Linked DNA regions of Yarrowia lipolytica. The protein of the gene in region 1 interacts with the protein of each later gene in a biochemical or structural test. Links are inferred from orthologs where the notes say so. Each region holds a gene or a part of one and is shown on either strand. Other genes may lie near its edges.

Evidence for each region.
Region 2: the proteins of YALI1_E00510g (region 1) and YALI1_E40467g form a complex in vitro, tested with the Saccharomyces cerevisiae proteins (2 studies listed by BioGRID, with this or other methods). The link is inferred for Yarrowia lipolytica from reciprocal best matches to the Saccharomyces cerevisiae genes MYO2 and CMD1.

What each region holds. Positions count from the first base shown.
Region 1 is NC_090774.1:45,579-53,243, forward strand, and holds YALI1_E00510g (uncharacterized protein), read right to left. Parts: upstream 5,620-7,665; coding exon 5,594-5,619; intron 5,463-5,593; coding exon 704-5,462; downstream 1-703. Other genes in the region: YALI1_E00527g (uncharacterized protein), read right to left, coding at 6,971-7,155, 7,441-7,480. UniProt on the Saccharomyces cerevisiae protein: Myosin heavy chain that is required for the cell cycle-regulated transport of various organelles and proteins for their segregation.
Region 2 is NC_090774.1:4,045,299-4,048,595, forward strand, and holds YALI1_E40467g (calmodulin), read right to left. Parts: upstream 1,383-3,297; coding exon 912-1,382; downstream 1-911. Other genes in the region: YALI1_E40442g (uncharacterized protein), read left to right, coding at 1-82; YALI1_E40471g (uncharacterized protein), read left to right, coding at 1,867-3,258.

The DNA of each region.
Region 1 (7,665 bases):
TCTTATTGAATGCACTGTGGTGATAGCTGTCATGGACTCAATCATTTTTATACATATAGCCATTGATATAGCCATTGGTGTACAGTACAAGTACAAGTACTAGTACGAGTACATTGTACCATATTGTATTCGTGTTGTATCAGTTGCTTACGTACATTCGGTACATGCTGTTTTTCCAACACTTGCTAAACAGCTGTGGAACTACATCTTTTTTTTTTTTTTTGCCAACGGCTACACAGTCGCATTCCTATGCTCCATGTCATCCCATAGACAGATACAAGTACTAGTACAGTAGCAGTAGTACATCCCTTGCGAATTCATCAACAGCCATCCCCACCCCACACTGTAAGTAGTAGTTCCATCCACGTTAGTGCTATTACCCCGCAATCTATACACCCATCTTTAGTTCCTTACAACTCCCCGCCCTAAACATACGATACACGATACACCACAGAAACTTCAACAATCAATTTCAAATCATATTACACTCAATTTTCATTTTTTCATATTGTGGGTATTCTGCGACAAGCACAACAAAATATCAACCCCCTGTAACAGCGGAGGCTTCATCAAAGTGTACCGTCTTTTAGTAGCGCGTGGAAGAGTCACGGTGGACATGTAGCTGTCGTCAGACACGCCGGACGAGTCCGAGTCGCTGTCGCTGTCAGACACCCACAAGACCGCGGGCTCAGAAAAACAGCGCTTATTGGCTTGCCACTTCTTGGTAGCCGTTGGTGGACTCTTCCGGTACCATTTGATCGGCACTGACACTATCGGCAGCCGCTTCCTCAGAGATATCACCATCAATCCTCCCATGCTGGTCCTCGTTGTTTTGCCCAGACGCCAAGGTCGTAAGCTCCACAAATCGACGGATCAGAGGCACCTGCAAGACTGCAGGGATGTACGAGTCCAGCCGCTTGAGCAGACGGGGCTCGCAGATCTCAAACGGACCAGAGTCCTCCAGAGGAGAAGTCTCCAGCAGAAGAACAGCGTTCTTCTCCAGCTTGACCTTTTCGGAGATTGTGTTCATAATCTCGGACGAGATGGGAGCCTCGTAGTCAGCAGACAGGTACTGGCCAATCAGACGATGGATCTGAGAGGGAGTGAGAATCCAGCAAATGTCGTAGATGATCTCAATATCCTCCAGAGTCGACTTCTTGAGCTGCAGCAGCTTCGCGGACTGCATAAGGTGCTCCAACTTGACCACGCCGTCGGCAATGTCATGCGACTTGCACCACTCCTCGATTCGGGTGATGTTGTAGTTGATCTGCAGACCTCGCTTCCACGACAGGAAGTTCTTTCGCATAAGCAGGTCGTTGAAGGCCTTGACGCCAATCATGGACAGCAACTCCATCAACGACTGTCGCACGCTGTGCTTCTCGTTGAAGTAGCAGGTCATGGCCTTGTACACCTTGTTAAACAAGTTGAGCAGATCATCCATGGAGTAGGACACGTTGGAGGTGAACATCTTGGCGAGGAAACGGCCGTTGGAGTCTGTGGTCATGAAACCAGGGAGAGCCTGTGACAGCACAATGGCGGGCACAATCATCTTGTCCAGTAGCTTCTTGAGCTCCTTCATCCATGTGTGATAAATGTTAAACTCCAAGTTCTCCAGATCGGCCTTGACCACGTGTACCAGACGTCCGTACTGCTGGAACTCGTACTCGCCCATCTCGTCCATAATGTCCACGTTCTGGGCAATGTTGGCCTGGGCAAGACACACGAAAGACATGATCTCGTGCACGTTGGACAGCCAGAATGCGCCGGGGTAGATCACGGCCTCGCCGCTGAGCTCCAGAATGTGCTTCTGGATGGCCTCCATGACTCGGGCCAGGAACCGCTCGGACTCCTTGATAAAGCCAAGCCGCCACATCTCCGAGGTGATCAGGTTAAGAATGTGGGCGGGGAAGAGCACCTCTCGAGGCAGAAACTGGTCATCCGACGTGTGGGGGATGGGGATGTTGAGTTTGTGGATCAGACCCTCGATCACTTCATCATACAGCTCGTCGCTCTGGGACTCGAGCAGCTGCTCAATCTGGCCATTGACTCCGAGAGAAGCCATCATCTGCTCAGCGTTGGCACCGGCAGCAGCTCCCATGGCAGCACCGGCAGCAGCGCCGGCGGCAGAAGGTCGGGGAGTGAAAGCAGCAGCACCGTCAACGATGCCAGCAGAGGTGAGAGATCGACGCTTGATGTTTCGTCGCTTGGCGTTCATTGCTGTGCCAGGAGTGCCTCGAACAGGAGACACTGAGGCCATATCAGAGGCAACCACGCCGTTCTGCTTGAGTTTCTCAATCTCGTGCTTGGCCTGCTCCAGCTGCTCGCTCAGAGATTTGTTGGTGTCAATGTGCACGTTGGTGGCCTCAATCTTGTCAGCGACTTCCTTGGTCTTGGCCTCGAGCTCCTGCTTCAGAGCAGCGTTGGCGTCCTCCAGCTCGGTCAGCTGCGCAACGGACGCCTGGTATTGCTTATCCAACGCAGCCAGCTTCAGCTCCATGGTTTGAACCTCCTCCTGGTGGGCTCGCTCCTTCTCCTCAGCGGCATTCTCCAGCTCCTCGACCCGAGAAGAGTTCTCGGTGGACTTGGCGGTGGCAGCAGCAGATCGGGCGTTCAGCATGTCCATCTCGGCCAGCAACTTCTTGTTCTCGTCCCGCTTGGCGGTCAGACTCTGGGTGAGCTCGACCACCTTGTTCTCCAGTCGGTACTGCACCTCCTTGAAGTGCTTCTCGGACTTGGCCTCGACCTTGAGCTGCTTGAGCTGTTGCTTGGCCTGTCGTCGTCGGATCAGCGACTGGATGAGCACAATGTTCTGCAGCTTGTTACGGTACTCCTTTCGAGCCACATATCCTCGGAAGTTTCGCTGAATGGTCAAAGCAGCACCCTTGTGGGCCACCTCCTGGATGTTTCGTCGCACAAGAACACCCCGGAAGATGGCCTGCAGCCGGACAATGCCCTCTCGCTGCTGCTTGAAGTCTCGTCGACCAGAGAAGCCTCTCCACGCAGATTGGATTTTGACAGCAGCCTGCTCCTTTCGCAGCTCCTGGAACCTCTCTCGAGCAATGTGGGCTCGGAAGAGCGTCTGGGCAGCGATAATCGACTGTCGGGTGTCGAGATACTTTTGTCGGTAGAACCGCTTTCGCACATTCTTCTGGATGACAATAGCACACTCGTTGAGCCGGTCGGATCGCAGCCGCTCCAGGTAGGCGAGCATTCCTGCTCGGAAAAAGATTTTGGTCTTTCCGAGTTGGAATTTGTCCTCCTCCTTGATGGTCTTTTCTAGAATTAGGTTGCACAGATCTCGCACCTCCATGGAGGCCCACTCAGCAGAAGGGACCAGCATGTAGTATCGGGAAATGAACTCCTCGTAGGACCATCGGGATGGGAAGCCGGCACACGAGATTCGAATGGTCTCAAGCACACCACAGGCTCGCAGCTGAGAAAGCACGATGGGGGCAGAGAACGACCAGGCGGCCTTCTCCTCATTGGGCTTGATGCACCGAATGTAGTGCACGTTGGTGGAGTTGATGGTGGTCATCAGGTCAATGAGTGAGCCCTTGAAAATTCGGCCTAAAGTAGGCTTCTTGGGGGCTCGCAGGCCAGGCTTGGTAGGAGCAGCAGGGGCATTCTCAGCAGCAATGTTGGCAGCCACATCCAGAATGTTCTTGAGGAAATCATTCTTGGTGGCCATGAGAACCTCGAGGTGCTCATCAGGCACAGCGTCACGGTTCTTCTCCACAAAGCCTTCGGCCTCATAGTTGACGTCCTGGGCGTAGTGGGCAACCACAAACGACGTGTTGCCGAACCGCGGCTTCTTGAAATGCTTGTTCTGCGGATTATCTAGCTGCTGGTACAGCTTGGTGCACCAGCCATCGTCGCTACCGGCGGGGAGACGCGACTCCTCGTCAAGCAGAGAGAGGATACCCAGCTTTGCCTCGATCAGGTCGATACAAGGCTGGTTGTCGGAAAAGTCAATGAAGGTCCAGTTGATTTCCTCCTGCACGTACTCGTCCTGCTCGAGCTTGAACACGTGCTGGTTGAATTCCTGTTGCAGCTTTTCGTTGGCGTAGTTGATGCAGAACTGTTCAAACGAGTTCTTCTTGAAGTGCTCGAAACCAAAAATATCCAGTACACCAATGAAGGTCTCGACCTGTTCCTGCACTTTGGGGTCGCACAGGCCGCCATTGAGCTCGCTGACCAGCCAGTCGAACAGTGACGTGTAAATGTGCTTGGACACGGAGTCACGCACCACCAACGACTGCTTGTGAGTCTGGTTGGACACGATCTTGTCGGCTCGCGTCACAATCTGTTTCTTGGTGATCCATTTGGCAAACTGGACAGGGTCAATCTGCAGCAGCTCACAAGCCTTGATAAGAGAGGGCTCGTCGGATGACAGAACCGCGTCCTGACGGGTCTGGCCAATTTCAATGTTACCAATGTGCAGAATACCAGCCAGAATGTTCCACAGGCTCTCTTGCTCGGGTTTGGCGATGCCAATAGTCTCGAGAGACGCACCGGTCAGCTTGAATTCCTCGCTGTCGTCCACGCCTTCAATGGTATCATTACCTCCTTGGTTGAGGTATCGAAAGGCCGGAACACCTCCCTCGACACCTAGAGCCTTGGCAAGCTCGGGAGAGGCACCCTTGACCAGCTGGTAAAAGATGTGGTAGTTTCGCTCTGTGGCAGGCTGGAACACGAGACGAGATCGCTCCAGCAAGAAGGTTCGGATTCGAGCACCCACAATGTCCACGTCCTTGTTGAAGTTGATCTCCAGATATTTGCCGAACCGCGACGAGTTGTCGTTTCGGGTGGTCTTGGCGTTACCAAAGGCCTCCATGATGGGGTTGGTGGCGAGAATCTGCTCCTCGACGTGGGACAGTGAGTCACCTTGTGACACGTCGCGTTTTCGTGGTGCTAGCGGATCCTCCACTGTGGCAAAGTACCGCATAATGTACTTTGCAGACACGGTCTTTCCTGCTCCGGACTCTCCTGACACCACAATGGTCTGGTCCTTCTTGTCTCGCAGCATGCATCGGTAGGCGTCCTCGGCAATGGCGAACAGATGGGGCTCAAGCTCACCACGGGTCTTGCCGGCGTAGGCCTGGATAATGTCGGGGGTGTAGAGGTTGTCGACCCGCTGAAAAGGGTTGGTGGCAATAAGCACGATTCCCGAGTAGGTGTAAATGTTGAGCATCTGGTATCGGGTTCGGATCGCGTGCAGCACACTGGGCTCATTGAGATAGGACAGGGAAGTCAAGTCTTCGGTGGACTCCAGAATGGGGGGGTTTCGCAGGGGGAGCTGAGGGACCTCGGCTGACGACTTGAGCACAGATACGGAGGTCTCTACCGACTTTTCCTCGCCGTTCTCCAGTGTCAGGTTGATGGTCACCTTCTCACCATCCGTCTTCTGGTCGACCACCTCGGCACCCACCCATCCTTCTTTTTCGTCTCGGATCCAGCAGCGGCTGTGTTAGCAGTTGTGTAATTAGGGGTTTATCACGAGATTTTGACAGTCGTATGAAACGCCGAAAAAACGCGAAACCAGCTTTTTCGGCGTGGTATTGCCGGTTCATCCTCCCCTTCTCGTCATACTCACATTCCGGGCTCGTAACTGATGGCCATGAGCGCGTCGATCCGTGTGGATAGTGGTGTGGTGGTGTGGTGGTGTGGTGTTTGTGTGTTGAATTAATAAGCCTATTGCACGACGTGTGGACGGGGGAAAACACGTGTGGGCTTGTGTCGTAGGAAGAAGCGCAAAGGAATTTGAACCAAGTGTGGTCGGTAGCGTAGTTGCAAAATGTTACTCAAGATAGATAACACCCGATACTAAACACCCTTCTCCTGTTTGATGTGTTGGAAGGAAAGTCAAACTCTGTGTGCTAGTGCTAACCTGCAAGTAACCGTGCTCAGCGAAACACAAGACAGCAGCAGCAGCAGCAGCAGCAGCTGTCCAGGTGGCACCTAAGCGGGAGCTAATGGCGCCAAATCTAGCATGTTCATTCTAACTCCCCAATTCTGATAGGTGTTTGTTTCATGGAGCGACGCGGTAGGTCCGTTGTGGCAATCTTCAAAGAAATATCTCCAGTAAATAGCCGACTATTGACAATAAAAAAAAAAAATCAGTCACTACTCTGTGCAAACATACAATACAACTCAACTATGTCCGTGTAATTGTTTCTCGCTGGCACGTGTCATTATTATTATTTCCAGTACTTGTCCTCGTGGGCCCCCGTGATTCACCTCCCCCGTATGTACTCGTACCGGTACTACGTGTCCAAAATAATGCGCCCCTGCACACATTCCGAAAGAAGGGGTTGAAACACCTGTGACCGGTAAACGAAGCGAAATTGAAGTGAGAAATGAGTAAATAAAGGCCGCGCTGAAACGGGCGAAATTGAGGGAAATTAATGGGCCCAAAAGACTAGAACAATAGGGCCGACAAGTTGACAGCATACTACTTGTTTAATCGATAACACTCCCTCCTACCGCGTTCACAGCACCTGACGGGACCCCTGAGACTCCCGAAAAACACGCATTCTTGAGCTGCAGTACGCACCGTTAAAATGCGTATGGCTTAAGCTAAAAACAGGGGGCTCAGGGGCTCAACATGTGACATGGTGCCTCTGGTCGATCGCCGAAAACAGAGAAAAACACAGAGCCGTTCTGAGACGGCATGAACAATCATCTGAGACCGTACTGTTATTATTTTAGCCTGTCACCAAGGGCTGGCATGTGAAAAGCTAAACTGTTGCCGGGGTGACACCTTCTACACAACGCGACAGTCTCTAGCATTAGCCTTTTTAGGTCACGTGCCAAATAAACGAAAGAGGACACAAAGGTTAGGGGTCACCTTGGGACTGTTAATTAGTGCTTATTAATCGAAAGAATGAGGTGCTTATTAAGCATGGCCCACTACAGACAAATATGAAATGTCAATTCATGCATAAATTATCGTTGTTATCTAAAACCGTGTCTACTCCGTTCGCTGTTCGCTGAGAGCAGTCTTCTTCTTCTCCAGAACCTCCAAGGAGTGCTGATGAACGTTGTGAAGCACGAGTCCGAGGCCAGCCCAGGCCACACCGGAGAAAACGTATCCGAGAGGGTAGTAGCCGGCAGGCTTGAGTCGGATCTTGTTGGAAAGGAACTTGGTAGCGAATCCTGAGTTAGTATGTGATGTGTGCGAAGATATCTGATAGCATGATTGGTATCTGGTGTGCAGTCCATATCAGAACCGAATTGAAGACGATCTGAGATCACCGCTTGATTCATCATAAGCAATGCAGTTGATCCGTGCCAACAACCACTCCAATTCCAGTCAAGATTGGTCAAACATGTCTAGAACCCTTTGTGTCACTTGCAAGTCGATGGTTAAGACACAAAAACATGTCGTCGAAGCAGCGGAAATTGTCGGTGGACAATCTCGTCGCGCATTGCGATACTCACCAAGACCGGATGCACCGACTAGCGAAGTAAACAGAGCCATTTTTGCGGTATTGGTGTGTGCTCCAGAGATGACTTTGGTGATGCAATATGATTTTGGAGGTTGCAATTTGCGGTGCTGTGATTCGTTGGGAAAGCCGGGTAACTTTAAAATGATCTTGGTAGTTGTCAGTTCGAGTTGTGGTTGCAACATATTTAAACCCCCGAATGAAATCTGGAACCCTAATA
Region 2 (3,297 bases), about 4.0 Mb from region 1:
GGCTGACATGACCAGCGGCGAGCTCAAGGCCTACCGAGTGGTGGGGGCCGAGTGGGCTGGCCAACTTGACTGCTCCATGTAATTGAGCTGTTTTGGTTACTGGCTGATTACGATTTTGCATATCTTAACTCCGGTATGAAAGTCTGAAACTGCGTTCTCGTTTGAGTTGCCTGGACAAGAATTATACGGCATTGGAAAGACGAATGCACAGACATGACCCATACCTTAAGAACGACGGCACTTTATGCTACTGTATCGTAGCTGGTATAGAAAGGCTACTATAATATATATATAAAAAGGGATGACGTTATTGTAGATGGGAAAATAGATCGGTGTTCGAATTCGGAATAACTGGGCACGAAAAGAGTATAAACATGTCGTATGTTCCGGAAAGAACAAATAAAAGTGAGGTTTGGGTTCAGGTGAGTTATTTTTAGAATGCACACTCCAAACAAAGACACTGCATCACCGTGAGACCCCACAACAACACTCAGCAGGCAGGGGAATTTCTGTACACCAACAACGGATAAACAGAGAGAACTACGCAATGCCAAGATATGTACAACAGAAAAAAATCACATGCTCTATTTCAAGACTCAAAGGGCGCTTATTTAGCAGACTGGGTTAGTATGGAAGTGCAATTAAAGGCGATACGGCGGATCCTTTGCTCTGTAACACACGCACACAAATAATTAGCTCGCGTGTAGCGCTACAGGACCGTTTTTCCACTGATAACAATATTGACTCAGCCAGTGCAGAAACGCGCTCAAAATGTGCACCACACGGGCTGTGTAAACAACAAGCAGCAGGGAAAAACGGACACAGCCGGTAGCAAAGAAGGGCCCGCTGCGCACGGGTGAGCGCCTTAGGGTCCCACGTGCGCGCGAGAATGAGCCAGAATTATCCCGACATCATGTAATAGTAGAACTCACCAGCAGCTGAACAAACTCGTTGTAGTCGATTCGGCCATCACCGTTGGCATCAGCCTCCTTGATCATCATATCAACCTCCTCATCGGTGAGCTTCTCACCAATGGAGGTCATGACGTGTCGGAGCTCCTGGGCGGAGATGAAGCCGTTGTTATCCCGGTCAAAGACCTTGAATGCCTCTCTGATTTCCTCCTCGGAGTCGGTATCCTTCATCTTTCGAGCCATCATGGTGAGGAACTCGGCGAAGTCAATGGTGCCGTCGTTGTTGGCGTCGACCTCGTTGATCATGTCGGCGAGCTCGGACTCGCTGGGGTTCTGGCCCAGACTTCGCATCACGGTACCAAGCTCCTTGGTGGTGATTTTACCGTCATTGTTCTTGTCAAACAGGGAGAAAGCCTCTCGGAATTCGGCAACCTGGTCTTCGGTCAGCTGGTCAGACATCTTGGTTAGCATTGCGGTTCGGTCGAGGGTATTTTCGATCGAGGGAATGAACGTGACGCAACCGGATTGTCTCGTCTTTTTAAGGGATGCTTGTATGCCACGTGTCAGAGGGTGTTTCTTGGGAGAGACCCGCACTAGCACGTGGCACAATAAAAGCAGGCCCTCACTTCCGAGTGCAGAATATTATCACGTAAGGGTTACCCCTGCTTTTTCTCGTCGTCATCGTACTTACCTTTGGTGTGTTGTGGTGTGTAGAGAAAGAGTAATTTGGATTCGGGGAGTTAGTTTAGTTTGCGTTCGCCACGGTGGAGAGTAAATAGAGCCAGGTTGGGAGTCGAACTGCGGAGCGTTAGGGTTATGCCACAGCACCCAAGCGCTGGGTACTGAACTGGAGCAAGACACTCGAAACAAAGTTTGTCTTGCAGATGACATACCTGGAAAGCGTGCATGCCAACAGCTCAACAATAGATCCACCAAACGTCCACCTAAACGAAATATGAAGGCCTGGCACTGGTCTGTCACCCTTGTGGTAATCTACCTGGCAATTCCAGTCATTCTCTATTTGCTCACCCGAAAAGATGACCGAAAACCGCTCAGTGACATTCGAAAACGGAAGAGAACCATTGTGCTGGTCCTCGGAGACCTAGGTCGATCTCCTCGAATGCTCTACCACGCTCGGTCTCTGGCACGAAGCGGACACAAAGTTGACCTGTGCGGATACGACGGCGCAAAGCCCTTCGACGAGATCCTCAACAATGATCTCATCAAGATCCACCACATTCCTTTGATCCTCAACACACGCAAACTGCCATTTGTCGTGTTTGGCATTCTCAAGGTTATCCGACAGCACTGGCTGTTGATTTCTCTGCTCTACAAACTGCGAGGCGCTGACTACCTACTCGTGCAGAACCCTCCCTCAATCCCTACCCTTGGAGTTGTAAGGTTCTACAACCTGTTCCTAAGCACTCGAACCAAGGTCGTTCTGGACTGGCACAACTTTGGCTACACCATCTTGGCTCTCAAGCTGCCCGAGACTCACCCAATGGTCAAGTTTGCTAAGTTCTACGAGGGTTTCTTTGGAGGTAGAGCCTTTGTTCATCTGTGTGTGACTGTTCTAATGGGTCAGGCTATGCGAAAGACATTTGGAATGAGTGGACGACGAATTGTGCCCTTGCACGACCGACCTGCTTTCCACTTCAAGCCTCTCAGCGAATCTGAGAAGCTCGATGTGCTCAGAGACTTTAAGGAGACTCTCTATGACGACATGATCGCTGATCACAAGATTATCGTGTCCAGTACATCGTACACTCCCGACGAGAACTTCAACATTCTCCTCGACGCTCTGGCTCTCTACGACGAATCCAAACTCGACCTCCCTCCTCTCCGTGTCATCATAACTGGAAAGGGACCCATGATGCCCGAGTTCTTGGCCAAGGTGGAAAAGCTGCAGTTAAAGAGAGTGTCCATTCGAACCGCCTGGCTCGAGTTTGCCGACTACCCTCGAATTCTGGGCGCTGCCCACCTCGGAGTGTCTCTCCATGAGTCTTCTTCAGGCTATGATCTGCCCATGAAGGTCGTTGATATGTTTGGATGTGGCATTCCTGTGGTGTCTGTGGACTACGCTGCTCTTTCTGAGCTGGTCAAGACCAACACCAACGGTGTGGCTGTCAAGGGCCACGTGGAGATGGGCAACACTTTCATGTCCTTGTTTTCCAACCGTGGAAAACTTGACAACATCAAGCGAGGAGCTATGATCGAGTCTCGAAACACCTGGGACCAGACCTGGGTCAAGACTGTGGGTCCTCTTTTCGACATCGGAGAGTACGTTCAACAGAGACCAGATGAGGATTACGACTTCAGCAGTAGCAGCAGCGACGACGACCACTAATAACGATACGAAAAGAGAAGGTGAGAAAAGGATAAAAGA